Tamandua tetradactyla: one gene and its partner. Each later gene encodes a partner of the first gene's protein in a complex. Links are inferred from orthologs where the notes say so. Each region holds a gene or a part of one and is shown on either strand. Other genes may lie near its edges.

Evidence for each region. Proteins that work in one complex are often made in the same cells at the same time.
Region 2: the proteins of FBLIM1 (region 1) and FLNC are in contact, whole or in part, in an NMR structure (PDB 2K9U), measured with the Homo sapiens proteins. The link is inferred for Tamandua tetradactyla from reciprocal best matches to the Homo sapiens genes FBLIM1 and FLNC. Residues at the interface, in NP_001337080.1 of Homo sapiens: Arg8, Val9, Ala10, Ser11, Ser12, Val13, Phe14, Ile15, Thr16, Leu17, Pro19; in NP_001449.3 of Homo sapiens: Thr2339, Ala2344, Gly2345, Gly2346, Leu2347, Ser2348, Ile2349, Ala2350, Val2351, Glu2352, Gly2353, Pro2354, Ser2355, Lys2356, Ile2359, Phe2361, Asp2380, Glu2382, Phe2387.

Annotation. Positions count from the first base shown.
Region 1 is NC_135328.1:210,134,955-210,142,801, forward strand, and holds the start of FBLIM1 (filamin-binding LIM protein 1), read right to left. Parts: upstream 3,009-7,847; 5' UTR 2,863-3,008; exon of another isoform or gene 2,502-2,862; intron 1,297-2,501; 5' UTR 1,181-1,296; intron 869-1,180; exon of another isoform or gene 785-868; intron 1-784. UniProt on the Homo sapiens protein: Serves as an anchoring site for cell-ECM adhesion proteins and filamin-containing actin filaments. Is implicated in cell shape modulation (spreading) and motility.
Region 2 is NC_135327.1:170,248,828-170,256,475, reverse strand, and holds the start of FLNC (filamin-C), read right to left. Parts: upstream 3,003-7,648; 5' UTR 2,972-3,002; coding exon 2,617-2,971; intron 1-2,616.

The DNA of each region.
Region 1 (7,847 bases):
CACTAGACCTCTCTGGGCCTTCTTTTTCTTTTTCATAAAATGAGAATGAGGGCTCTCTTGAGGGAGGCCAAGAATAAAAAGGAGAATGGGTGCTCAAGCTCTGAGGCGCAAAGGCTGCCTGGTCATTCAGCCCCCCAAGAGGAGGAGCGGACCTAACTTACACCATTATCAAGAACAGGAATGGGGCGCTGCCCCCACCTCTTTCCGGGGTCCTCAGAACTAGGCCGGCCGCCACGATCACACCCCCCCCCAGCCAACACACCCCGGGGACCCCCCAGTCCCACGACTACCCAGCCCCGACCGGGCTGTAAGGCCCAGAGAGGGGCAGCTCGGGGGCCCCTCCTTTCCCTCGCCGGAGCCTGGCTGCCGAGGGGGGCCCGGAGCTCCGGAAAGCCCGGCGGCCTCCCGCAGGCAGCGGGACAGGGCGGCGGGCCCCGGACTTTAATCCGATCCATGTGCGGGACGCCGCCTCCTTTGTGCGGGCGCTTCCGCCCTGCGCGCCCCTTCCCCCGGCGCCCGCTCTCCCGGGGAGGGCCACGACCCTCCCGCCACTGAGCCCTCCCCCCAGACCTGCCCCCCCGGACTCCGGGGACAGAACGCAGGGCAGGCACCCTCCCCCCCAGCCCCCCCAGCCCCCCCCAGCGTCCCGCGGGGCCCCTCCAGGATCGTCGAGGTGGGGTCTCGGCTGGGGTGGGGCTCCGGCCGGGGCTGCCCGCGCTGTCACCTAAGGGTCGCCGGGCGGGGACGGCAGGACAGCCTTCCCAGCGCTCCGCGCCCCGCTTACCTGGGCCGCCCGCGCCCCCGCGGCTCGGATCCGACGCCCGGGCGAGCAGGACCCGGGAGCAGCGCGGCGCCTCCCGCCCTCCCGCCCCCTCGGCTCCCTCCGCCCCGCCGCCCCGCGCCGCGTTACCATAAAAGGTGAAGCTGGGGGGAGGGGGCTCCGGGATGCCCGTGGGGCAAAAGCGGCCCTTACCTGCCCCCCACCCCCACCTGCCCCGCCGCGCCCCGCGCCGCCCTCCCCCTCCTTTTGTTCTCGGACCGCTCCTCTCCCCTCCGCCAGGCCCGGGGCTGGGAGCCTCCCCCGCTGGCCAACTCCCCGCCCCCCACCCCGCGTCCTTTGTGCAACTTGAGGGGACGTTATCCCACCCCACCCCCAGGTCACCTGGGTTTGCGGCCCCACCTGCTCTTCCTGGTGGAGGGTCCAACACCCATGGTTTGGCCTGGGGTCTCCCAGGTTCCTAGGCGTCAAGGGACCCTGGGCAGTCACTCTGCTTCCCTGAGCCTCAGCTTCCTCATCTGTAAAACGGGGATAGTGGTGCCTAAGTCTCTAGGTTGGCCTGAGGATAAAAGGGTGTGTGGACAGCCTGGATCACTGTCAGAGCTTAATACACGCTGGGTTCTTTTTCAGGGTGTCCCTGGGTGGGGGTCTCAGAGACACCCAGTAGAGCAGGTCACCTCGCTTGACTGTTCAGTGTGGTCCCTGCCTGTCTTAGGGACCATAAGCCTTGGCATATGGCCTGGGAGACTGACCCCTCCAGGAGTACCATGTGCAACTCGGTGGCCCAGGCCCCAGAGGCAGGGCCAGCTGGCCATCAGGATACCTGGCTGCCCACCCCCTACCCCCGGGCTCTGTTGCTGACCCCTCCCCTCCTGTCCCCTGGATTTGCTCCCCTCCCACTCAGGCTGGCAGAGGTTGGACCTGGAGCAGGGAGGGGATAGCAGAGCCTGAGCTCTGGGCCCAGGATGGAGCTGGGATGGGCCTCCCGAGTCCCTGGAGGCCTCAGGCCTCAGAACAGCGCTGGGGAAAGGAATCTGGGTCTGATTCAGAGGCACACAGATTGTTCCTTTGATTAAAGCCTCCGTGGCTGAGGCCAGGGAAGCGCTGGAGGCAGGGCCATCTGGCTCTGGCTCTCCCCTGCGGGCCCCACAGCGACAGTTACCACCGCCAGGATGGCTCTGGGGGTCTGAGAGGCCCACATCCGTGGGAAGGGGCTGCCTGGAGCCCCTGTCCCACACTCCTCCTCCTCGCACCTCCCTAAACTGCTCACCCGACTGCCACCCCGCCCTCCGCCCTTTTTTTTCATTCGATCCGTACAGCTCTGCAAGAGCGACAAGCAGCGAGGGCCACAGCTGCCCTTTACGGGGGCTTCCTCTGACTGGCACCTCACCCGCACAACCTGCTTAGGTTTAATCCCCACAAGAGCCCTGGGCGGGAGGGCCCATTACTCCTGCTTCACAGACATGGAAACTGAGGCTTTGAGAACCTTGAGGTTACCCCAGGGGCAAGGGGCAGGGCTGGGATTCAAACCCTGAGCAGTGGTGCCCCTGGGTGCATGGCTCTGCTCCTGCAGGAGTGGGGACGGCCCTGCAGTGTGGACTCTGAGGCTCAGGGAGGTGGTGAGATGGCGCAAGGCCCCAGGTCAGGTGCACCCCCTGCTCGGCGACCTGCCTCCGCTCTGCAGTCCTGTCTGGGGTGAGACTTCCCTGTGCCCTCCTCACAGGATGGAGGGAGTGGAGGGAGCTGCCAAAGCCGGAGATGGGAAGGACCTTAGGGGAAAGGGCCCAATCCAGGGGGCTGCAGCCGTACAACTACATTTTCAAGTGATTCCTGACCCTGAAGCTCGTTCACAACAGATGAAAACGGTATCGTCCTCCCCCAACCCTGCAGTACCCACTGAGCCCCCTCGCTGTCTGCAGCAGCCCCCCTCCCCAGGTGGAACAGTGAGGCACAGAGGGAGGGGTTGGTGGCCTTGTCCAAGGTCACAGGACTCAGTGTAGGACCCCAGCCTCCCACCTCTGCTCCCGGCTGACACTGGCTTGGGAGGCTCTAGGGGCTGCCAGGGCCCAGCCACCACCACTCACCTGCCATCTAGCAGCCCTGGCCGTCCAGCCTGCTCTGCTGATGCTCCCCGGCCCAAGACAAGAAGCGCGTCCTGGCCAAGGGGCTCCAGGGCAGCCCGGGTGTCAATGTCACCGTTCGGCCGGTGCCAAACTTCCTGCAATGGGAACCCAGGAAGTGCAGTGGATGAGAACACACGCCCTTTGTCTGCCAGCTCAGAGGTCCTGCTCCCTCCTCCCGCCCTGCCAGGCTCAGACCAGCTCACTTCCCTCCTCAGAGGGCTCCGGGGACAGGTGAGAGGACTCCATCTCCTATTTGAGTGGTGACAGCCGAGACCCCTGGTGGCCAGGAAGGGGTGCGAGAGAGATTTTGGGATAAGATTCCGGGTGGTGGGGATGTTTGCTGCTGCCCAGCCTGGCACCACCTGCCCTTAGTGGGCGAGGGGCTTTGAGCCAACAAACCTTCACAAGACAGTGCAGAGCTCCAGCCTCCAGCAAATGAATGCAATGACTACCTAGAGCAAAATGTGCTAGGAAGGGGGTGGGGAGCTGGGACAGAGGACAGGGCTGGGGGCAGATCCTCTCAAAGGAGGTGACATTTAAGCTGAGATGAGGAGGAGCCAGTCACAAGAAGAATGGAAGAGCTCATTCCTGGGAGAGAGAGGCAGTGGGGAAAACCTGGGCAAGTTACTTCCCCTCCCTGAGTTCATTTCTTCACCTGTAATGCAGTGGAGCTGGCCTGGCTACTCATGAGCAGAGACACAAGTGCTTCCCTTTGCAGACCTGTTGGGGACAACGGCACAGAAAGGGCCCACCTGGGGCTGACCCGTCGTGGATGCCTTGAAACTGTAGCAGTTGTTATTTCTACTCGCTCTGGCCTGGTTTCCAGGGCTCTCTGCTCACACCGCCCGCCACACCCTCTCCAGCTAGAACGCAGACCTGGGACCTGGGACCTGGGGCGAGCTGGATGAAGGGGTCCTCCAGCCCCGGGTCACATGACTTTCCTCCTAGGCATCCTGAGGAAGTGAGTTCCTTTCCTCTTTCCACCATAAAGACGTCAGAAGTTTCAGGATGTTACAGTAAGGTGGGCAGACAGCTGAAGGTGAGGCAGAGGCTGGATCCACTGAGGACCTACGGGACATTTATGGTCCCTGCCAGCCCAGTTTCACTCTCCCTGCTTTTGGGGACAGCTTCCAATTTCTATTTGGGGACCCCCCACCCCACTTTCTGTCCCTGGGGTTCGGGTGGGATTGCTGCAACCCCCCTGGCTCTGGATCTGGACTGTTGTTTCTGAAATGAACACCAGACCCAATCTCAGCTGTGGGCCTGTGGCTGCAACTGTTTGGGAAGAGGTAGAGTCCTCCAGTTGGGCTCTTTAACGGGAAGGATGCAAGCTTGGTACCAACCTGCCACCATCTGGACCAACGCAAAGGACAGCAGAGCCAAGAGAAAAGGAGAAAGAACTGACTTCATCCTTTAGGTTGCTGGATCCAGCTATGCCTGACGTCCTACCTCTGTACTTTTCAATGAGATGACTGCACTTTTCAATTACATGACTCAGTTTTTGCTTTTTCTTAAACCAGTTAAATACAGAGCTGTGATTAATCTTGGCAAGACTTCATGGGACAGGATCATTTCCCCCTTTTAGAAAACTCTGTCCCAGTGTTGTCACTTTTGAGGAGACATCCTGACTCCTCCAGGAAAGTGAAAGAGTTGAACACTCCCATGGGTACATCAGCCACTGCTGGTTGCAATGCTAAGCTTTCCTTACCAGACTGAGAGCAACGACACTTGTTGTTGTTGTTTTATTGAGATATAGCCACACATCATACAAACCATCCAAAGTATACAATCATTGGCTCACGGTATCATCACATAGTTGTGTATACAACCCCCATGATCAATTTTAGAAGATTTTCATTACTCCAGAAAAGAAATAAAAAGGGAAACCCAAATTCTCTCATATCCCTTATCCACCCCACCCCCCATTATTGAGCCATGGTGTCGGTGTAGTACATTTGTTACTGCTGATGAAAGAGAATTAAAACATTACTGTCAACTATAGTCCACAGTTTGCAACAGGTACATTTTTTTCCCCCATAAACCTCTCTATTATTAGCTCCTTGTAATGGTGCTACACATTTGTTCTGGTTCATGAAAGAACTTTTTTATATTTGTACAGTTAATCATCGACATTGTCCACCAGAAATTCACTGTGCTATACATTGCCATGTCTTAACCTCCAGTTTTCCTTCTGGTGACATACATGACCCTAAACTTCCCCATTCAGCACTGTTAATTATCCTCATGAGAACAGGGCAGTGTCCTTTCACTCTCTGCGTCCCCAGCACCTGGAGTTGTGCTTGGCACACAGTAGGGACTCAATGATCCCTACAGAAGAAAGGATTATGGGGTCTGGAGGAGCTGTACGCAAATTGTATCAGAAGCAGTAAGAGGTAGTGATCAGGTTAAGAGTTTGGAATTTAAAGTCAGACACATAAATTTAGATCTTGGCTCCCTCGTTTAAGCACATCACTTAATCTTTCTGTATCTTGGGTTTTGTCCTTCTGGGGAGATAGAGGAAACAACAATCAACACCTCGCAGCTGTCCTGAGCACTGGGAGAGAGAGTGTAAAAAAAAAAATACACAGCACAGGGTTATAATTCCTCCATAAAGAGTTGCCATATTAGCAACTCCTCCCAAATGAAAGGCAAGTTTGCTCATCCTTCTCTGCACAGGGAGTAGCCAGGTGGACAAGGTGGGGGCGTCCGGGGAGCCAGGGGACAGGTAACAGAAGGGCCTGACCTCTTCCCGCCCCTCTTCCCCTGGGATTGGCTCCTGCTTCTTCAGCCCTGGCCGGGCCCTCCTTCCTGCCCTCCCCAGACCCAGACGTGGCCTTTGACCCTGGACACTTCTCATCAGAAGGCGTGGCCCAGACTGAGATGTAGTTCCTTCTGGGGGCAGTAGAGGGCGTCGTCAGGCCTGGGCTAAGTGCCCTACATCTGTCATCTTGTTCAATCCTCACAACAGATGGGGAAACTGAGGCACAGTGAGTGACTTGCCCATTAGTCCCTGATGGGCCTCATTCAAGCCCAGGGAGGCTAGGCCCAGGCCCTTTTACCAAACTGGCCAAGTGGGTAGAGAAAAGCTGTTCAGAAGCCACAGGGTTCCCCAACGTGGCCACGGTTACACCCAAGGAGCCCCCCACTCTCAGGCCCCAAGCCTGTGTCCCTCCTGCTCCACCCAGGCCGGCCCAGCCCCCCAGCGCCTGGCTGTGACAGCCATACCCGGGCCTCTGCACCCTCCCAGTACAGGAGCCTGAGCTGACCCAGGGCCAGGCCATCCACGCTGTGAAGCAGCACAGACTCCTGAACGAGGGGGCGTAAGACCCAGCAGGCTGGGAGGCCGCCTCCTCGCCCAGGCCTTGCCAGTTTGAGCCCCTCTGTGGGCAGAGAAGAGGATATAATGGTGCTACTCACTTTGGAGGGTCCCTGAGTCTGCCCCAACTCTGACTCTCACTGGTTCCTTCCCTGTCCCCGGCCCCCCAGCCCCCCGGCCCCACTGGCAGGCTTCATTCCTGGCAGCTTCCATCCCAACATGCCCTTGGCAACATCTACCCCAATTCCGAGACCCCTTCCTTACTAAAGCCTAATGTGGCCCAGACCTGCCGCAGCCACTAACTGGCCTCCTGGCTTCCCTCTCACCCCGTGGTGGGCTTACTTCTCACCCCAGGAAGTTAATGAAGCTGACACTCAGGCAAGAGCCACCAGGAGGACTGGAAGTTGCTGGGAGTTATGGAGTGTTCTAGAAGGGGAGGAAAGCCAGGTTCATACAGGAAACGCCTCCATTCAACACTCCTAGCAAGTTGCCTAGAGAGACGTCAGAACAAGGGGCTCAAATCTCTACAGCACCAGTAAATTGTGCTTTCCCTTCTCACTCCAAATTTTGTGTCCTTCTTCCAAAGCGGGGGGTGAGGGGGCCTTTAGAATTGGATTTGCCCCTACGCTTCCCCCTTGCAATTCATTCCCACACGGGGCTGCACAATCCCTCCAAAGGAACCCCTGATCCGCTGACCCCTGCTCACAGCCCTTCCCCGGCTCCTGAGTGGCCCCAGCCCCTTTTGGGGCTGTATCTCCTGCCACTGTGTTGACCCTTGCTCGGTTTCTCAGCTACATCCACCCTTGCTCGGTTTCCCTCATTGACACTGAGGACATGCCTCCCAAGCCTTCTTCAGAGAAGCCAACCTGAACCCCAGGCCACATCACTCTACCTTATGGCACCTGGTCCTTACACCCCAACCCTGCCCGCTAATGTACCTGCCGAAGGAACCTGCTCCCCTCTCTTGGAGCCCCCCCTCCCTACCCACCCCCGTCTCACACCCCCTGCCTTATTTGGCCAGGTGTTCAGGCCAAAAATCTAGCAGCCACTGGGCTTCCCCTCTCTCAAACCTACTCTAAATCCTCAACCCCATCTACAAAAGATGTCCTTTATCCAGCTGCTGCTGGTTGCCTGCACCGCTGCTACCTTGGCTCCAGCCTCCATCATCTCTCACAGGATTGTTGCACATGCTTCCAAACTGGTGTCCCTTTTTCTAGACTGTCTAGTCTAAAAACGGCAAAAAGAGGAATGCTTTAAAATGGGTCAAATTAGGTCCCTTCCCGGTGCGGAACCCTCCGTTGGCTTAGAGCGCAGGACAGAGTCCTAACCCCTCGCGACGGCCCCGCGCGCTCTGCTCCTCGCCCACCCCAGTGACCTCATCCCCTGCCCCTTCCCCTCCTCCAGGATGCTCCAGTCACAAGAAATTTCCTGCTGTTCCTCAAATAGTCCAAACTTGTTCCCGTCTCAGGGGCTTTGCCCATGTGTTCCTTTCCCTGGCCTGGGATGTCCTCTCAGCTGATTGCCTGGCTTGCTCGTCTCTCCATTCAGGCCTCTACTCAATTGTCCCCACTTCAAGGAAGCCCTCTGTGGAGGCGGCTTCTAAGGTGGCCCACGGTGATGGCCACCAGCC
Region 2 (7,648 bases), on another chromosome or scaffold:
CTGAGAGGGCGGGCATGGGAGGCTGCCGGGCTGGGAGGAGTGTATGTGTACGTGTGGGGGACGGTGATCACTCACAGTCACAGAGAGCGAGGTTTCTCCCCAGCAACTGGCCCTGGGCCAAACAGCAAGTGGTCCACAGCCTGGGGCAGGAGAGGGCCAGCAAGGGGCCCAGAGTCCCACTCTGGGGGCAATGCCCTTCCTCTCCTCTCACTCAGCTTAGGCTTCCTCCCTTATATCCTCCCATGCCACCACTCCTCAGCCTGCCTGGGGATACCCCCAAAGGGGGCGGGAAAAGTCAGACAGCCAGTCCTTGAGGCTACCCCAGGATTCAAGTAGAGGGGGAGGAGGAGAGAGAGCTGGGCTGAGGGAGGGGCTGGGACAGCTGCTGTCCCCTCCAGCCCCTCCCTCGGCTGTTGGCCCAAAGAGAAGGAATAGCAACTGGGGAACAGCTGCAGGACAGAGCTGCCTCATAGGCCCCTTTGTTTGGAGGGGCTGAGGGGGCAGTGGGGGCCATACGGGGGTGGTAGGCATAGGAAAGGGGACACAGTTTCTCCAACCCAAGCTGAATACCCCCTCCTTCAGGTGGACGTCCCAGCTCCCAGCTCCCACCCCAGGCCTTGACTTCCCTTCTAGAAAGGGAAATAGTGTGTCTTTCTGGCCTCCCACCAATGTGCTCAGATGCTCAATTTTAGTCTGAGACAATGTCTCCTCATTCCACCACTAAAGGGGACAGCGGGAACTAGAGGAGGCAGGAGGCTCCCACCGGATGGGTAGCCCTTTACATCAGCTCGGAGTCGTCTGAACCCCCTCCCCTCCAGCCTCAGCCTCTCTGCAGCTGAACTGCTGACAGTTTATCTCATCAGCGCGAGGACGCCACTTGGCCGGAACAGGGAACAGCTCCCCTTCCTCTCAGTGGGAACCGAGGGAGAGTCTCTCCCACCCCCAAACCAGCTTTTGCTCCTTCCTCCTCTACTCTGAGCCCGCCCCTGCACAGTCGAGCCAAGGGGGCTGGAGCCAGTAACCATCAAGGGGGAGGGGAGAGGTGTGCTCTGAAAGGATGAGGCCTAGAGATGGGCAGTGGGCTGTCCCTGCAGCCCCCAGAGAGGAGGGGAAGTCTGAGCAGTTTCCTTTAATATCTCCTCTAATAGCCTCGAGCTGTCCCAAAGACCCCACTTGGGACAGTCAGTCTCGCCTTTCCAATCCCAGGGTACAGGGGGTCTCCTTACCCCCACCCCCATTCACATAGCCCTCAGCCCCACTACAGACACCAGCACCTCCTCCCCCACCCCCTGCCCTCAAGTTTGTCCTTCTGGAAAGCTCAGAGACATCTGCTGTGTCACGGAGGCAGGGCTATTTCCAGGCCAGAGCAGGCGGGTGGGGTGGGAGGTAGAGGGGGGAGCACTGGGGTAGGAGGGGGTAAGGTGGAGGGAGGGGCCTAGCAGGGCAAAGGGCCCTAAACTGACCTCAGCTGCTAATTCAGGAGACCTAGAGATGGCCCTGAGGGGGAGAGGGGGGTGGGCATTCAATGATCTGGGTATATCTCTTGGAGCAGCGAGATGGGGGGCGGGGAGGCTCTAGGTTACCTGGCCCTACGTGAAACTCCCCTCATGAGGTCCCGGGGTGTATCCCCACAAGGGGCCCGTTCATGTAAATCAACGCAGAACTCTTCAGACCTCACCACAGGGGTGAGAGGTCTTCCCCAGGCCTGGAAGCCCGCTTGGATGGCTGCAGGGTTGTGAGGGGAGAGGATACTTCTTGCCACTCAAAGCCCATCCTTGGCTTCTTCTCAGCTGTAAAGCCTAGAGTGCCTCCCCACCCCCACACAGCACTGACACACCTTCCAAATCTGGTTACACTCAATGACTTCCTCCCTTCTACAGGCTTTGTCCTCCCTCCCCTCAGTCCAGACCTTTAGCTGCAGCCAATCCCGGGCTGAGGGGGAGGGCTGGGGCAGGGCCTGCAGGGGTGGGAGCCCCCCTCCCCAGCAGACAGAAGCAGGAGGACAGGCAGGGGTTAAGGCTCCCTGCGCTCACTCAGTGCCTTTTTAGGTTTCTGAGGCAGGGCCCTGCCTGCCTTGGCCCCCCAGCCTGAGCCCAGCTGCTGAGCACATGCCTGCCCTGGGCCTCGGCGGGAGCGGCGGGGCCACCAGCTCGCCTTCAGCCTAGAGCCGGGGAAGCTGGGCATTGGTTGGGACCTGCCCTCATGCCCATCTCCCCAGGCGCAGGTGCTGGGAAGCTGGGAAGCTGTGTGCTTTGTTTGGGGGCAGATGCCCCCAGGAATCCGCAATAGGCACTAGCCCTGTCCTTTCAAACCAGGGGCCAGGGTCCTGCCGCGGAAGAAAAGTGGACTAGGAGGGGAGGCGGAATGGCTGGAGCGGGTGTGGGGAAGCTGAAGCTGGAATGGTTAGGTCTGAACTCGCCTGGGTGCCCCGGGTCCTGAGAGGGGTGTGAAGGCAGAGCCCGGGCGAGTCCCGACGGTGCCACGGAGCTCCCCGCGCGCCCACCCAGCACCTGTGCCCCGCTGCCACGCACGGGCCGGCCCTCAGGGCACCGCTCCCCTCCCCTCCAGCTCCCCCCACCCGCCCCCCGTGCCCGAGCCCTCGGCGCCAGCACTGACCGATGGACACGAGCTTGATGTGTTCGCGCTCCAGGAACTCGAGGGCCACGGACACGTTCTCCAGCTTCATCTGGCGGAAGTTGGGGCGCGGGTGGAACTTGCGGTACATGCGCTTCTGGCTGAGCACCTCGAGCAGCGCGATGAGGCGCAGCCCGTCGCTGAGGTCGCGCTGCAGGTCGGTCAGGCGCTTGCCCACGCACTTGAGGTGCTCGTTGCACCAGCGCGTGAACGTGTTCTGCTGAATCTTCTTCCACGGCGCGTCCTCCGCCAGGTCCTTCTCCGTGGACGGCATCTCGTCCACCTCGTCGCCCAGACCGAGGCCCGAGGCCTCCGTGTAGCCGCTGTTGTTCATCATGCTGGCGCGGGCCGGGGCAGGGGCTGCGCTGCGTGTCTGGTCGGGGTCCGCGGCGGGGTCGGGGCGGCCCGGGGGGTGCTGTCGGGCGCTGTCGGGGCGCGACCGCGGGGCTCGCCGCTCGGCACTGCGCTGCTCTCCAACTGCTCTGGCGCCCCTGGCTGGCGGGGCTCGGCGGGCTTCCTCGGCTCTTCGGCCTCTCTCTGTCTCTGTCTGTCTGTCTCTCTCTCTCTCTCTCTCTCGCTCTCTCTCTCTCTCTCTCTCCGTCCGGGGGCGGAGCGGTGCTCGGGAAGTGCGGGCCGGGCCGGGGCGGGGGGTTTAAGAAGCCCCCGGGCCGCGGCCCCCCTGTCTCGCCCGCGGCCCCCGGGTCCACGTCAGAGCGCCGGCCTCCCAGGAATGCCGCCCGGCCCGCGGGTGGGGGCCACGCGGAGCGGAACGGCCCCGCCTCCCCGTCCCCTCCTTCCCCTCCCCTCCCCCACGCGGCCCGGGCGGCGGGAGGGGAGCTGGGGCCTCCCGCCCCTCCCCCACACCGGCCCGAGTCTGCGGACCAGGGGGGCTGGGGTCCCCGAGGAGCCGCCGCCCTGGGGAGGTGGATAGCGGCCCTCGAAGGTGGAAGAGAATGAGGGCGAAAGTTACCCATCCTCACCCAACACCCCTAAACTAAGCCTTGTCAGTCAGAGATGAAATGTGCTCCACTGCAGAGGAGCTCAAGAGATAAATGGGGAAACTGAGGCCAGTGGTTAGAGTGAAACATACACACACACACACACACACACACACACACACACACACACACACACACACGGATGTCGTGTTAGAATTTCTGGATGAGTTGGTGGAAGTGCTGTTGACCGGACCTGGGAGTCCTGGCTTCTAGCCCAGTGTATTGTCCACCTGTGGATAGGGAAGGGAAGTCTGTGAGCTTGTGTAGACCTGGACAGAGAGGAAGCAAGGACACTGCCCAGGCCACTTAGGAAGAAGGCTTGGGGATGGTGGACTCCGCGGCAGGGGGTGGGGGGCACCTCCCTCATTGCTCCACTTTACAGGTAGAAAGGCCTCATTTGGGACCCAAACCCAGAGGCAAAGACTGAGGCTGCTGCCCCTGACTCAGTGCCCCTGCTGCCAGCCCCATCTGGCCTCATCCCCTCAGAATGAAGCTGAGCTCAGGAAAAAGGTACCCAGTGAGTTACACTGTGCCACCCCCACCCCCACTCCGCCCCAGCTCAAGTCTGACTCAACCAAGGTGATGAGTGGGGAGAGAGAGACTGCCTCTTTAGTGCCAGAGAGCCCCCTGGGCAATGTGCCCATTTTGGCCACAAGGCAGATCACTCTAGGGAGAAGGCGGATTACTGACAGAAACAGGGAGAGCCCTGCCCAGAGCAGCCAAGGGGGAACGTGACTGAGGCAGGTGGGCAGCGGTAGAGTGGTCAGGGAGAGCCCGAGGGAGCCAGCCAGGACGTGCTAGGCAGGGCTAGGCTTGGGGTAAGCCAAGGATGGCTGGAGGCCTGGGGAGTGGTGAGGGTAGGGAAACTGAGGCATCCACACAGAGGAGCTGACCTGAGATGAAAAAAAAAGAGCTATAGGATATATTTTTATAAAGAGAATATATATTCTGCGATTTTGTAGCATACATGTATTCCATACCTCCTGGTCTGCCTTTTATGGCCATCCTTCCTCAGCTTTCCCATCCCTCCTGGACCCAGTAAGTTTGGGGTAGTGAATTGGTGAGAGGTTCTGGAAGAAGTAGGCAAACCCTCACTTCATCAACAGGAAACTGAGTGGGTAGGAGACCGTGTCTGAGCCTGAGAAGTGTCTTGTATGTGATACAAGCCATGTATGTGATAACAACTGAGAAGGTTTAAGAAGGTTCTGGGACCTTATAAATGACTAATTCTACCTTTTGCCTCTCTTTTCCCCAGGCTGGGTGAAAAAGAACGAGCTTGTGGTTATCTTTGGGGCTCTCTTCCCAAGAGCAGAATGAGGGCACTCTTCATTAAAGAGCTGAGGGAGAAGTTTGGGGGTTTAATGGGGGCAGTGCTTATAGTGAAAGGGGTCATGAGTGATTTCTGTTCGTTCTCATTAAATGAGGTTGCTTGGTTGCCTGAGTAGGGAGGGGGGAGGAGTAGAGAAGGGCCCAGAAACAGAAAAGGGCCAGGCTGTGTGTGGCTGGGGTGGGGGGGCAGGCTATGGGGGCCCTGATAGTGACAGGCGAGGTATAAATAGCGTGGGCCCTGCAGCTCATGTTCTGTCGGCTGCCTGTGACAAGGTGCTCAGGAATTCTACTCTCCTGCTGGCAAACCCCTTTCTCCCCATCTCCAGTGCTCTCATTACCCACAAGCAACCTTCATCCCGTGGCCCAAAGCACCCATCAGGCACCAGTGCTGCCCATCTACCTGAGAGGCTGAGCTCTCCTGTGGAGAGATTCCCAGTTCCTGGGGGAACATAGCTGGGTCTCACCAAGGAACTGTGTGCCAGTGTGTGCGTGTGTGTGTGCGTGTGTGTGTGCGTGTAAGGGCAGACTTCTGGCACCCAACTCTGAGGTGCCAGGAGCTTAGGGTTCAATGATGTTGTCTTGAAGCTTTGGTGGAGAAACCGATGTACAACTCTGATAAAGGCTGGATTCCCTTGTTGAGCGCAAGGGATAAGCTGGAGTTGCTTGAAGCTGACAGCCTCTTTATAAACCCTAACGGCTCCTATTCCTGTTTTGTGGGCATTCCTTGATGTTCCTGAGTCATTTGGGGGCCAGTGTTGACAGGGGAGAGTTCAGACTGATGCCCACAAGTGGAGAGATAACTCTCAAGGATAGCCCCCCATGCCTCCCCTGGCTCTCCCCCTTTGACTCATTGTCTCATTCCAGTAGAGAGCAGTGTGTCTGCCCCAGGGGAGTGAGAGGAGGGTACAGAGTGCCCATGGATGGTTCCCGTCACCCCCCCATCCCCCGAGAAACCTGAGCCTGTTGCTCTCCAGGATAAATCGGGGCCTGACTCAGGCTCCAGCCAGCCAGTCACAGTCAGCCTGACCCTGGCGCAGGCTGGTGACTCAGCCCCCGATATAGCCCATGAGCCCAGGCCCCAGGCCCAGCCACATGGGCCGGAACAGACCGTGCACAATGTTGGTCCTATAGCCTGCCAATTGGGCTCCTCTCCCCAAGGAAGGCTGATAGGTTCCTCCCTGAGCCAGGCAGGGGCACCCAGAGGGGCTTACAGGGGGTTTTGTCAGCTGAATATTTGGGGCTGCATTGGTTGGAGCCATGGGCATTTATAAGCCTGACTCACCACCACCCGCTTGTCTCAGGAGACCAGGCTACCCGGTCTTTCACCTGACCCTGCCTCTGCCATCAAGGGGACTGCTTGTCAGCCACTGACACTGGCCTCATTTAACTCGGACTGAGCAGAATCTGAGTAAGTGGGTGCAATGGGCCATGTTTGAAAATCCTGCTGTTCTGGAGCCGTGGTCATTTCCACAATCACCTGTGACGATACCAGGCTGGTATCACAGCAGACACCCAGAGCAGGCACTCTGACCAAGCCACACTACTGATTATGGTGCTGACCCAGGTGCCAGGGACAATGGAAGAGTGGAAAGATCCACAGGCTGAATTCCAGCCTCTCTACTTCTGGCTCTGTGACCTTGGGAGGTAATGTAACTTTTTGTGACCTTTGTTTTCTCATTTGTAAAGTGGAATTAGTCACACTTTCATCTGATTTTTTAAGATGTGAAGATGAAAGGAGATAACTGTAAAATGATTGGCTTGGTGCCTGTCAGTTTGCTTCGTCTGCTGGTATCTCGGGGATGGAGTGAGCCAGGTTCTTCCTCACAGTCTGTCTTTCCACCCCTGTAGAGACCATTGTCAGGATCTCTACACTGGTCCCTCCCTCTCTTACCTAGTAAATCTACTTCCTAACCTTCCACCTGCCAGAATCATAACTGGCAGCGCTTCTGTCTTTGGAAGGGTGCACGCTGACCGAGGGCAGCAGGTCCTTGAGAGGGGTGACAGCTGGCATGGTCGTCTTGGGAAGGGAAAGCAGAGGGGACTGGTCTGCAGGGAGGAAGCGGTTATGCAGAGGGCGGCAGAGGAGAGATAGAGGCTCCCAAGCCTTGGTACCACCTGTACCTGAGGCCTGGCTACATACCTGCCCATGGATTCCAGGAGACACCCTTGTAGACTTAAAATCAATTCCCCCCCCCCCTTTTTTTCTTAGGCTAGCTGGAGGGAATGTTTCACCCACAACAGAGACCTGTTTAATATACTTTGGTAACAATATATCAATAAGACCAGGAGACATCAAGTTCAAACCAGATGAAGAGGATGAGGTTCCACAATAAGCCCAGAGAGGCTTACACTCACATAAAGGCAAGTATCCTAAAGGGAAGAGTTCTGTTTTCTAAGCCAAAAGACATGGGGAAACCTAGGACCACGTCCCCATCGACACCCAGGCTCCTTGTTCAGGCTGGGAAGGACCCGATAATGTCCTGTCTGGAGGTTAACTGCCTGCCAGACCCTGGCCTCCATCTTGGCTTCTAATTCCAAGTCTAAGTAAGTGACTAAGCAGCTACAGGAATCTTCTAGTAATTTTCACTGTGTATGTTCTGCAGCCAACTGGTGGCTGGAGTAAAGCAGACAGAACGCAGGGTCTCCCGCCACTCAACAGTGAGTGAGTGTAATGACACCAGGCAGGT